2 linked regions of the Nothobranchius furzeri genome follow. The protein of the gene in region 1 binds, or shares a complex with, the protein of each later gene. Links are inferred from orthologs where the notes say so. Each region holds a gene or a part of one and is shown on either strand. Other genes may lie near its edges.

The links. Proteins that work in one complex are often made in the same cells at the same time.
Region 2: interferon regulatory factor 2-binding protein 1 (region 1) and banp share a complex: the UniProt entries of both Homo sapiens proteins name them as parts of the corepressor complex. The link is inferred for Nothobranchius furzeri from reciprocal best matches to the Homo sapiens genes IRF2BP1 and BANP.

Annotation. Positions count from the first base shown.
Region 1 is NC_091750.1:43,019,901-43,025,228, forward strand, and holds the start of interferon regulatory factor 2-binding protein 1, read left to right. Parts: upstream 1-1,800; 5' UTR 1,801-1,987; coding exon 1,988-3,757; 3' UTR 3,758-3,785; intron 3,786-5,328. UniProt on the Homo sapiens protein: Acts as a transcriptional corepressor in a IRF2-dependent manner; this repression is not mediated by histone deacetylase activities. May act as an E3 ligase towards JDP2, enhancing its polyubiquitination. Represses ATF2-dependent transcriptional activation.
Region 2 is NC_091744.1:74,152,203-74,157,030, reverse strand, and holds part of banp (protein BANP), read left to right. Parts: intron 1-1,173; coding exon 1,174-1,298; intron 1,299-1,463; coding exon 1,464-1,535; intron 1,536-4,762; coding exon 4,763-4,807; intron 4,808-4,828. UniProt on the Homo sapiens protein: Controls V(D)J recombination during T-cell development by repressing T-cell receptor (TCR) beta enhancer function. Binds to scaffold/matrix attachment region beta (S/MARbeta), an ATC-rich DNA sequence located upstream of the TCR beta enhancer.

The DNA.
Region 1 (5,328 bases):
TACACAAATCCTGTTTTTATGCTCATTTGTGAGACTAGAGCCGTCACAATTCACTCCCAAAAGAAGTCCTCTGGACATAACACACAAAATATGATTTAGTTTTTTATATTTTTATGATGTTGATTTTTTTTTTGACAAAACTCACCTCACGATAAATGGGAGCCAAAACAAAAGTGTTGCATTTATATTTTTGTTCAGTGTATTTAACATTTCAGAGGAGCAGCAGGATGAAGTTAACTTCTTGGAGTATTTAAAAACATCAGTTTTAGGTAGTAAATATGACAGATATTCATCTTGGTTTTAATGTTCCACCAGGTTGTGACGCTGATCCAGCAGGTACCATCACCTCTGTTGCTGCTGATCATAGCTGCTTACTGAGGGACAGAAAATAAATAAGCTTCAAATTCAATTTAAAGATACTTTATTAATCCCAGAGGGAAATTAGAGTTTCAGTACACAATTCTGAGATCAGAGATACATACATAGGCAAGACACATGACAAGAATTGGTGACTGTGGTCATTCACAACCCGTCGCACTACCTTAATAGAGATCAGAGGGTTTATATGAGGACTGAGTCAGGTGGAGGAAAAAAAGGCACTTCAGAGTTACCCTCCACAGGGAGGGCAGCTTTGCTATGCAAAAAACACCTCAGACAGAAATGTAACAGACTTCAGACATCACACAACATAAGTGATACATTTATTTAGAGAGGCTTATTCAGTCTCCAATATGACATTTCTGCAAGCTTGTTTACATGGAGACATTTAAGAAGATTTATTTTTTATTTTTAAGGAAAATAATATCTCTTGAATGTAAGTTCATATTCTTGTCAATAAAGTGAAATTAAAATGCTGTCCAAAAGCAAAAATATTTAACAAATACACAATCATAGAACAGGCGTGGAATTGTCTCAGAAGCTGTACAAGAGTCAACTAACTATTTTCTATATTTTTTAATAAAATATTTTATAGGATATATTTGATTAACTATTTTAAAAGGAACTTCTTTAATTTTGTTGATGACCATATATTTATCAGCAATACTGACCAATTATTACTATTTATTGTATTCTCCCAAAAGAACTGACATTTAGGAATCATTGTGAATAAACTTTATGTTTGAAAAATGTTTTGTTACGTTTTCTGTCCAGCATGTGAATTCCATTATTCTTTTGGTGTTAGCTGTAAATTCGGTTTTGTTTTGGAATAGTCTAATAAAACCAGGTGGAACTGCATCAAAAACTATCGAGTAATCTTTCACAGAGATTGGAATATTTAAAGTTTTGAGAAACTCAACCTTCTTTATCATGATCCGACCACACTAGTCGGAATGACATTCAGATATTAGTGTGGCAGAAATAATAATAATAATAATAATGATACAAATATAATGATAATAATAATAATACAAATAATAATAATAATTTAATGTATATTTAACAGTGATATTAGAGCTAAAAGGATGAATATTTGTTTATTTATTTTTTTTACTTTATCTTCTTGCATTAATTTTTTTACCTTTATCCCACATTTGGCGAGTTGGGATCTGGTGTGTGTGTGTGTGTGTGTGTGTGTGTGTGTGTGTGTGTGTGTGTGTGTGTGTGTGTGTGTGTGTGTGTGTGTGTGTGTGTGTGTGTGTGTGTGTGTGTGTGTGTGATGACGGTAGTAAAAAGATGGGGAGAGATAAAACTGCCTGCGTACCTGTTAAACTCCAGTACCCACAAGGCTTTGCGCTTGAGTCACGTAGGTGTTTCCGGTGTCTTATAACATTTTACTTCCTCCCACACAGACCACACGAACAAACAGATACAGAAAACCTCGTTAGTTTACACTTTTGTCGCGTTCCAGTGTTGTTTTTACTCTGTTTCTGTTGAATAAGTCGTGGCATGTGACGCGAACTGTCCGAGGGTTGAAGAATAACCGAGAAACACGAACCGTAACGTGTAGGCCTCTAAAGAAAGTTTGGTCTCCGGGCCTGTAAACAACATGTCCTCCGCCTCGCAGTCTTCCTCCAGACGCCAGTGGTGCTACCTCTGCGATCTGCCCAAGATGCCGTGGGCCATGCTGTGGGAGTTCAGCGAAGCGGTGTGCCGGGGATGTGTCAACTACGACGGCGCGGACCGGATAGAGCTGCTTATTGAAACCGCCCGGCAGCTGAAGAGCACTCACGGTGTTCTGGATGGCAGGTCTCCGGGTCCACCGCAGGGCAAGCCCAGCTCAGTCGGTTCCGTAGAGGTGGGTCGGCAGCATGGTGAACGTGTAGACAGAGGGAGGGGGGAATATGGGGCGTCCTCTCGGCTCCCCAATGGTCTGCACAGAGCTGAAGATGTGGCCTTGTCTGAGGGGAGCCGTCAGAGCCCGAACACCCGTCGGGCTGTCGCTGGTTCAATACCCGGTCTGCATGGCTCCATATCTCATGCTTTAATAGCTCAGGGGCTAGTAGCAGCTCCTCACGGGCTTTTAGCTCCCTTACCGGGCTCCAGAGCCGGGGCCACGTCCATTGCAGTTTCAGCTGGCCCTGTAATGAGTGATGCTGGCAGAAGGCAGGCAGTATCTTTGAGCGTGGGAGCCAGCACCTCTGCTCTTGTGGGATTAGATCCAGCAGTTTGGAGGAACAGTGAACTGATGGCAGAACTGAATGAGGTGGCCCGCAGCAGGGTCGAAGGTTGGCCAAACCACCCAAAGGCAGTCCGGGATGTTCTTGTGTCTCTCAGCAACTCCATCCCCTTCAACGTGCGTTTCAGGAAAGACCATAACCTGCTGGGTCGCGTCCTGGCTTTTGATGCCAGCACAACTCCAGAGTTTGAGCTGAGGGTGTTTGTGGAATATCCTGCTGGCTCTGGAATCATATTCTCTGGAATCTCAGACCTTGTTAGGCAGATGTTCCGGGATTCAGCCAAAGATGCAGGCAAAGCAGTGAACTCTGGGCTAAGATACGTGGAGTACGAAAAACGACAAGCCACAGGAGACTGGCGTGGTCTGTCTGAGCTGCTGAATGACGGTGTACGCATGTTTAAAGAGCCCCCAATCCCAGAGGTCCTGCCACAGCCAGACCCTGTACTGTCTTTGGCAGCTCCTGGGCGTCCAGGACCAGCAAAGGGAACAAGCAGACGCCGTAAGGCTTCTCCTGGCTCAGAGAATGGAGAGAATGACGGGAGACTAGATCATCCATCAAGGGAACCCTGGCCTCGAGCTGCCTACACAGAACCTCTTCCGGGCATGGCTGCTCCTCAAGAAAGCTTGCCACGTTTACACAGCCAGCCTTCACCCATTTCTGCTCTCATGGGAGTTGCAGACAGCCTGAGCTCTAGTCAGATGGCTCGAGAAAGCCCCAGCATGTCTGCAGCCCACTCCTCGGGAGCTGGGCACTCCACCAGCAGCAGCCCCTCCACCGCCTCCACCTCAGCCTCCCAGGCAGCCATGGGGCAGGGTCTGAGTACAATGGGGCCTAGTAGTAACACCAACACCGGGGAGAGCACGAGCAGCACACAGAGCGCCCTGCTCTGCTGCACCCTCTGTAGAGAGCGTCTGGAAGATACACACTTTGTCCAGTGTCCGTCTGTCCCACACCACAAGTTCTGTTTCCCCTGCACTCGAGGATTCATCCGCAGCCAGGGTCAGGGTGGGGAGGTGTACTGCCCAAGTGGGGAGCGCTGTCCCCTGGCTGGATCCACTGTGCCTTGGGCTTTCATGCAGGGAGAGATCTCCACCATCCTGGCTGTAGATGGAGATGTGAAGGTCAAGAAGGAGGAGTGATCCTTGAAGTCTCCACCATCCTGTCATGGTAAGATATAGAGAAAAACAAACGAAAACTAACACCCTTCTTCTCTATCGCTGACGAGAATTAAAACTAATGTTTTATGGTCTGCTGAGCTGATATTTACTTTACTAAAATTTAACTGGTTGGGGGATCAGCCGGTCTAAAGCACACAGTACTTCCATTTTCTCACTCTTCTCTTTGTTCTGTCATCACAAAACTAATCACATTCAGTGCAACACTTGAATTAGGTTTGGTGCCACACTTTCTGTGGGACCAATTTGATATTTCTTTGAGACTGATGCTGCTGATGCTGTAAAAGTAGCAAAATATTCTTATATGACTGTGGGCTTTTTAATCCAACTAGACGGTCCCAGGGGGTTTCCTGTACCAACGTAGCTGGTTTGAGTCAGCCGGCTCCTGCAGAACTTGAGGTGCTGATGAGGTGGTCCAAGCACTGAATCAGGATAACAGCTAAAACATGCAGGGCAGTAACCATCTAGGACAGTGGAGTCAAACTCAAATTCACACTGGGCCAAAATGAAAAACTGGGACGATGTTGCGGGCCAAACTCAATATATATATTTTAAAAGTGAGACAAATGTGTACATTTTCCTTTATCTACAGATGTGTACTGTTGAAGCTTTTCATTTGGAAACAAACTTATTTTTACCAAAACACTGAATGTGGAATAAGGAAATCACACACGAGCAAATGGACCTTAAATAAAGCACACATCAGTGGTATTTGTTACTTAGTTATGTTTCATTTATTTACTCTTTTTATTCCTTGTTTTTTGCTCTCGCCTGTTACCTTTGTGCTTTGAAGCAGAAAAAGTGCCTAAAATCAAAATAAGCCAAGCTCAGTTTGCTCCACTGTGATGCTCACCTGTTCCAGCCAGACACCTGCATGTCTGGGGTCGGGCTGTGAGCTGAGGAAGGAGTTCATCAGTGAGGCTGCGGTGTTGTTCTGTTCATCTTCATCACAGACAACAGAAGAGCGTGAGTTTTGTCCGCATAGCTGGTAGTAAGTCGGACCTGTTCCCAGTGAGGGTTGGACTCCGCCAGGGCTGCCCTTTGTCACCGGCTCTATTCATTACCTTTATGGACAGAATTTCTAGGTGCAGCCGTGGTGTGGAGTGTGTCGAGTTTGGTGGCAGGAGAATCTTGTCTCTGCTTTTTGTGGATGATGTGGTCCTCCTAGCTTCATCCAGCTCTGACTTTCAGCTCTTGCTGGGTAGGTTCACGGCTGAGTGTGAAGTGGCTGGGATGAGGATCAGCACCTCCAAATCTGAGACCATGGTTCTCGACCGGAAAAGGGTGGCTTGCCAACTCCGGGTCGGGGGAGAGGTCCTACCTCAAGTGGAGGAGTTTAAGTATCTCGGGGTCTTGTTCACGAGTGAGGGTAGGAGGGATCGAGAGATCGACAGGTGGATTGGTTCGGCGTCTGCAGTGATGCGGACGCTGAGCCGATCTGTCGTGGTGAAGAGGGAGCTGAGCCAGAAAGCCAGGCTCTCGATTTACCGGTCGATCTTCGTCCCAATCCTCACCTATGGTCATGAGCTTTGGGT
Region 2 (4,828 bases), on another chromosome or scaffold:
TCTGACCAGGGAAGCTTTGCACTGCAGGGGAAACCCAAATATCCTGTGAGGGGGAAACACTTGGGGTAGATTGTCAGGCCTTTCCTTTTCTGACCACGCACGCCCCACAGCGCACAGCGGTAACACTTTATAATAACTACATCTTATTTAGCCTTAATTACACATGAACAAACGTAAGTAACTACTAACAAATAATTAATTAACTAACAATGACTCTTACTTAATAAACAATTAACCAATGCATTAATTAATGCTTTATTTTTAACGATTAGTCCCTTTTAAAAGCTGTTTACTCATTTCTTATTCATATGTAACAAACCATTAACAAAATTCTTTTAAGCAACTGACTAACACATTAATTAATGCTTAACTTCTAATGACTAGTTTCATGTAAAAGCTGTTTATTTATGGCTTATTCATAATTAACAAATCATGAACAGAGTTCTTATTAATCCATTTTTTGGTAACACTTTATAATAACTACATCTTATTTAGCCTTAATTACACATGAACAAACATGTAAGTAACTACTATCAAATAATTAATTAACAATGACTCTTACTTAATAAAAACAAAGCATTAATTAATGCATTGCTTAATTGTTTATTAAGTAAGAGTCATTGTTAATTAATTATTTGTTAGTAGTTACTTACATGCGTGTTCATGTGTAATTAAGACTAAATAAGATGTAGTTATTATAAAGTGTTACCCGCACAGCACAAATGCTTGTTCAGATGCATCCATCAGCATGCAGCACACATGCACAAGACCAAACAGCAATTCTGTCTTTAATCAAATTACGTGTCAAATGAACAGGGAAAAGGCACCTCTTTTTAAAAATCCTAACTAATTTGCATCACTTAGAGTTCAAACAAACTCTTTAGCCTCCGAAAGCCACCTGGCAATTCCTGCTTCATCTGGTGATTGGAAGTACGGAGAATTATTTATATAATACAGTACACAGCGGTGTCAGTGACAGATGGAAGACAGCTTTGTTTTGTAAAGTTGTGTATGTGATGCGTTATCGCAGATTAGTTTAATGTAAACAAAACTGGATTCTTTTGTCATGCTGGAAGGATACTGGCTGCTTTCACGAGCAGCGTTGATTTATTTTCTCCTTAATCGCCTTTTTGTTTTTTTTGTTGTTCTTTGTGAACTCCTTGTCCTCGCCAGCAGATGAAAACATGAACGAGGAACCTGCACACATTGAGACGGCTACCCAGCAGACTTTGCATTACACACTGGCCAATCAGCAGGTTCAGTTCCACCGCATTGGTGAAGATGGACAAGTTCAGGTGGTGAGCGACGTTTTAGTTTTCTGTTTCTCTGGTAAACAAAACAGGCTTTCTTGACCTTTATGTTGCTCTACGAGTCACTAAAATGACTCGTATTTCTGTTATTATTTGGCATGAATTTTCCCCCCAGTGCCTGTAATTCTGAGTAATTTTTTATCTTCGTCTCAGATTCCACAGGGACAGCTGCACATTGCCCAGGTGCCCCAAGGGGAGGAGGTGCAGATCACACAGGACAGTGAGGCAAGTGTTTGTGTGTGCATGTGTGACAGAAGTTGAGACACAGTTGACCGGTTTCCCCTCCCGATGGATTTAATTTCTCAGTAAATGCCTCACTCAGAGACATTTGTTTCCAAACAGGGAATAACTGTTGCAGCTCATTCATGCTTGAGAGGTTGGCAGGGCATTCAATCACTGATATCTTCCATCTTTTGGGAATGCCAGTTTGTAAGTGGTTGGCAATTTAGTTACAGTGTGGTAACACTGACAATCATTGTTTTGCTTAATGGTTTAAATTATCCACAAAAGTCGTGCAAGCATGCTTTTGCTGGCTTTGTCTTTAAAGAAGGAAATTAGTTTTCATTTTGTGGAAGTGCAGCAATATATTTCGTTCATTGGCGATTAAATTAAGATTTCTCATCATCAGCTTTATTCATAAATCACTTTTCAATAATATGAGGAATATCCAAAGTGTTTTACAGTACACATGGAAAAATACTGCATAATTAAAAGTGCAAGTTAAAATACATTCGCCAAAACACACAATACTGAAAACAGCAGCGGCTAGTGTGAAATTAGCATAAAAGCTAACAAGTAAAAATGTGTTTTCAGCCTATTTTTAAAGTTTGTTAGTGATTTAATTTAATGACAGATCATTCCCCAAACTTTGGGACCACAACTGAAAAAGCACGGCCCCTTCTCGGGTTCATTTATACCTAGAAACAACCAACAGGCACTGATCAGCAGACCTAAGTGTGCAAGGTGGCTTCTTCTTGCTTCGCAGATCCAACAAATATGTGGGAACCTTTCCATGTAACACTTGAAAAGCAAATAATTTTAAAAGTAGTTCAATACCAAACCAGAAACCAGTGGATGCAGTTAACAGTGGGTTGGTATTCTCTCTCTCTCTCTCTTCTTTTCTATAAAAAATCTAGCAGCAGACTTATGAACCATCCAGTGAGCAAGGAGTTACAGTATCCAGTCATGAGGTTATAAACACATGGATCACAGTTTCCAATTTTATGTTGCTGCTGTTCTTCCTTGGGAACTCTTTATACAATTACATAAAATTTTGCATAAAAGAAGAAGAGAAATACATAGACCTACATCTGGCCAGTGAGGTCAAATCAGATGTGCAAGGGGTCTGTCATTTGAATCGAAATGAATAACCTCTGTTTTGTCTTTGGTAAAAGTTAGTAAATCAAAGTTTCAGGAGAACATAAACAGGGCAGTCATCTGCATATAGGTGAAACCTCACTTTGCGTCAGTGGAAAAATTACCAAGTAGCAGTAAATTTATGGAAAAGAAGAGAGGGCCAAGAATAGACCCTTGTGGCACTCCATAGATAAGGTCAGCGCTGGCAAATGAAACCTCTCCTCCCTTCTAACACAAAACATTTGAATGACAAATGCAAACACGAGTGGATAATTTGGACAGTTTGAAGTGTGTTTTTGTATAAAAATGATGATCAGCATTGTAGATAATTTCCTTAAAGTGACAGTGTGTATTTTCCCTGGTGATAGGAAGCTGTGCATACATTGCTAGCATGCAGTATTTTTGTGTTTGAGTAAGACCTTACCAACGGATGGTCATTACGGTCAAAAATCCCTGAGTGCGCTATTTTTGATCATGTACTTCATCAGATTGTTCAACCTCCAACAAAATGACCGTCAACACTGGCAACAAGTGAAGAGGTAAATGTGTAAAACAACATCGTTAACGAATGGTGAAAGTTTTGTAATTGCTTGTTACAAATCATTAAATACTTCTTTCCTCACGGGCTCCCGTAGAAGGAAACTTTGCATCTAACATCGTGTCTCCCAGAGACTTAGATGCATTTTTGACCCAATTTTTATGGTCATATTTTATGAGGCCGCCAATATTTTTCAACAACTGAGCATCATTTGATTCATTTTCAACAACATTTCAATGGATATATTTAGGGATTAATGGTAAAAACTACATTTTGTTTCTTTAATGGCCAGTCCACAGATTTGCTAATGACTTGTCGGAGTGCAGAGTGCGATATCCGAGGTGTACCTCACATTTTTCAACATTGTCAGTTTCTGTTTTCTATTCAAAAACCACAATAAAACAAGTTCCACCCAAGTGTTTTCGGACCGTGTTTAAGACATTAGTGAAAGCCGGAAAAAGAAAAGCTTTTATGTGGAGTAGAGTATTATTTATACAGTATAAATAACAACTTATGCAGAGAGCTGTTTCCATATAACGCTCAGGTGACTCATTGTAGGCCATAAGACATCGTTCCATATACACACAACCTGCCATTTAACATTATAATTTACCTCCAAACCACACTAACTGTTAAAGAGGAACTTCTGCATCAGCATCACTGTTAATGATTTTTCAAGGATGTGGGAGAGAGATTTATTTCAAGGCGCCAGTTTATGTACACACTCTTACATGTAATCAAATACTCAACATGATACATGTCATACATGGGTGACGGCTTGACATTTGTGCAGAAGCAATTGACACCTTAACCAAATGCTTTTCTCATTTCCTTTTCAGTCGTAGTGGTAAAGGACCTTTTGGACGAAACGCAAAACTGAAGGAGAGGGAGACACAATAAATTGAAGGCAGAAAAACCTCCAAAGCTTTTCCTGCTCTTTGTGGCCGAGTCCAAAATTCTTTTTCTTCTTCCCCCGTCTCCTTCCTATTCCGAGATATTATTTGTTTTTGGAGTTCAAAGCTTAGCAACAAAACCCCACTTCTGCCAGCTGCCCCTCACAGAACATGCTTTCATTAGAAACGGGCCCCTTTCATCAAAGACGTTGGTTTCAGCGTACTTGAGAAGGAAATTAACTGCTTCAGAGATTGTGCTGCTCTCTCTGAGCATATGAAAAATCAGACGGAGCAGCAAATGTACACAAAACAGTGCTGACTTGATTGTTACGGTGTCATAAGCAGATTCTTCTTGTTTGCTGCAGCCAGATATAATACAGCCATTGACAACACAAGGGGATGTCGTTCACCTCTCGTTATGAGCCGCGTAAACACCGCCAACATCTGCATGCTCAGAAACTCTGTCTGATCATGCAGGGGTTGGCAGAAACCAGCGTTTTGATGCTTCTCTAGTCTAGACATCAGCTTTTTTACATGCAGGTGATCAGAGGAGGTTCACTCTGCACTGACTGATGATTTAGATCAATATATATTTATCGCACGGCATTACAATCAAATAATTTATTGCCATTCTGTAGACTCACGTGTCTCTTTTTTTATTTTAGGGAAACCTTCAGATTCACCAGGTGCACGTGGGTCAGGATGGACAGGTGAGTCTGAAGTCTAAAATT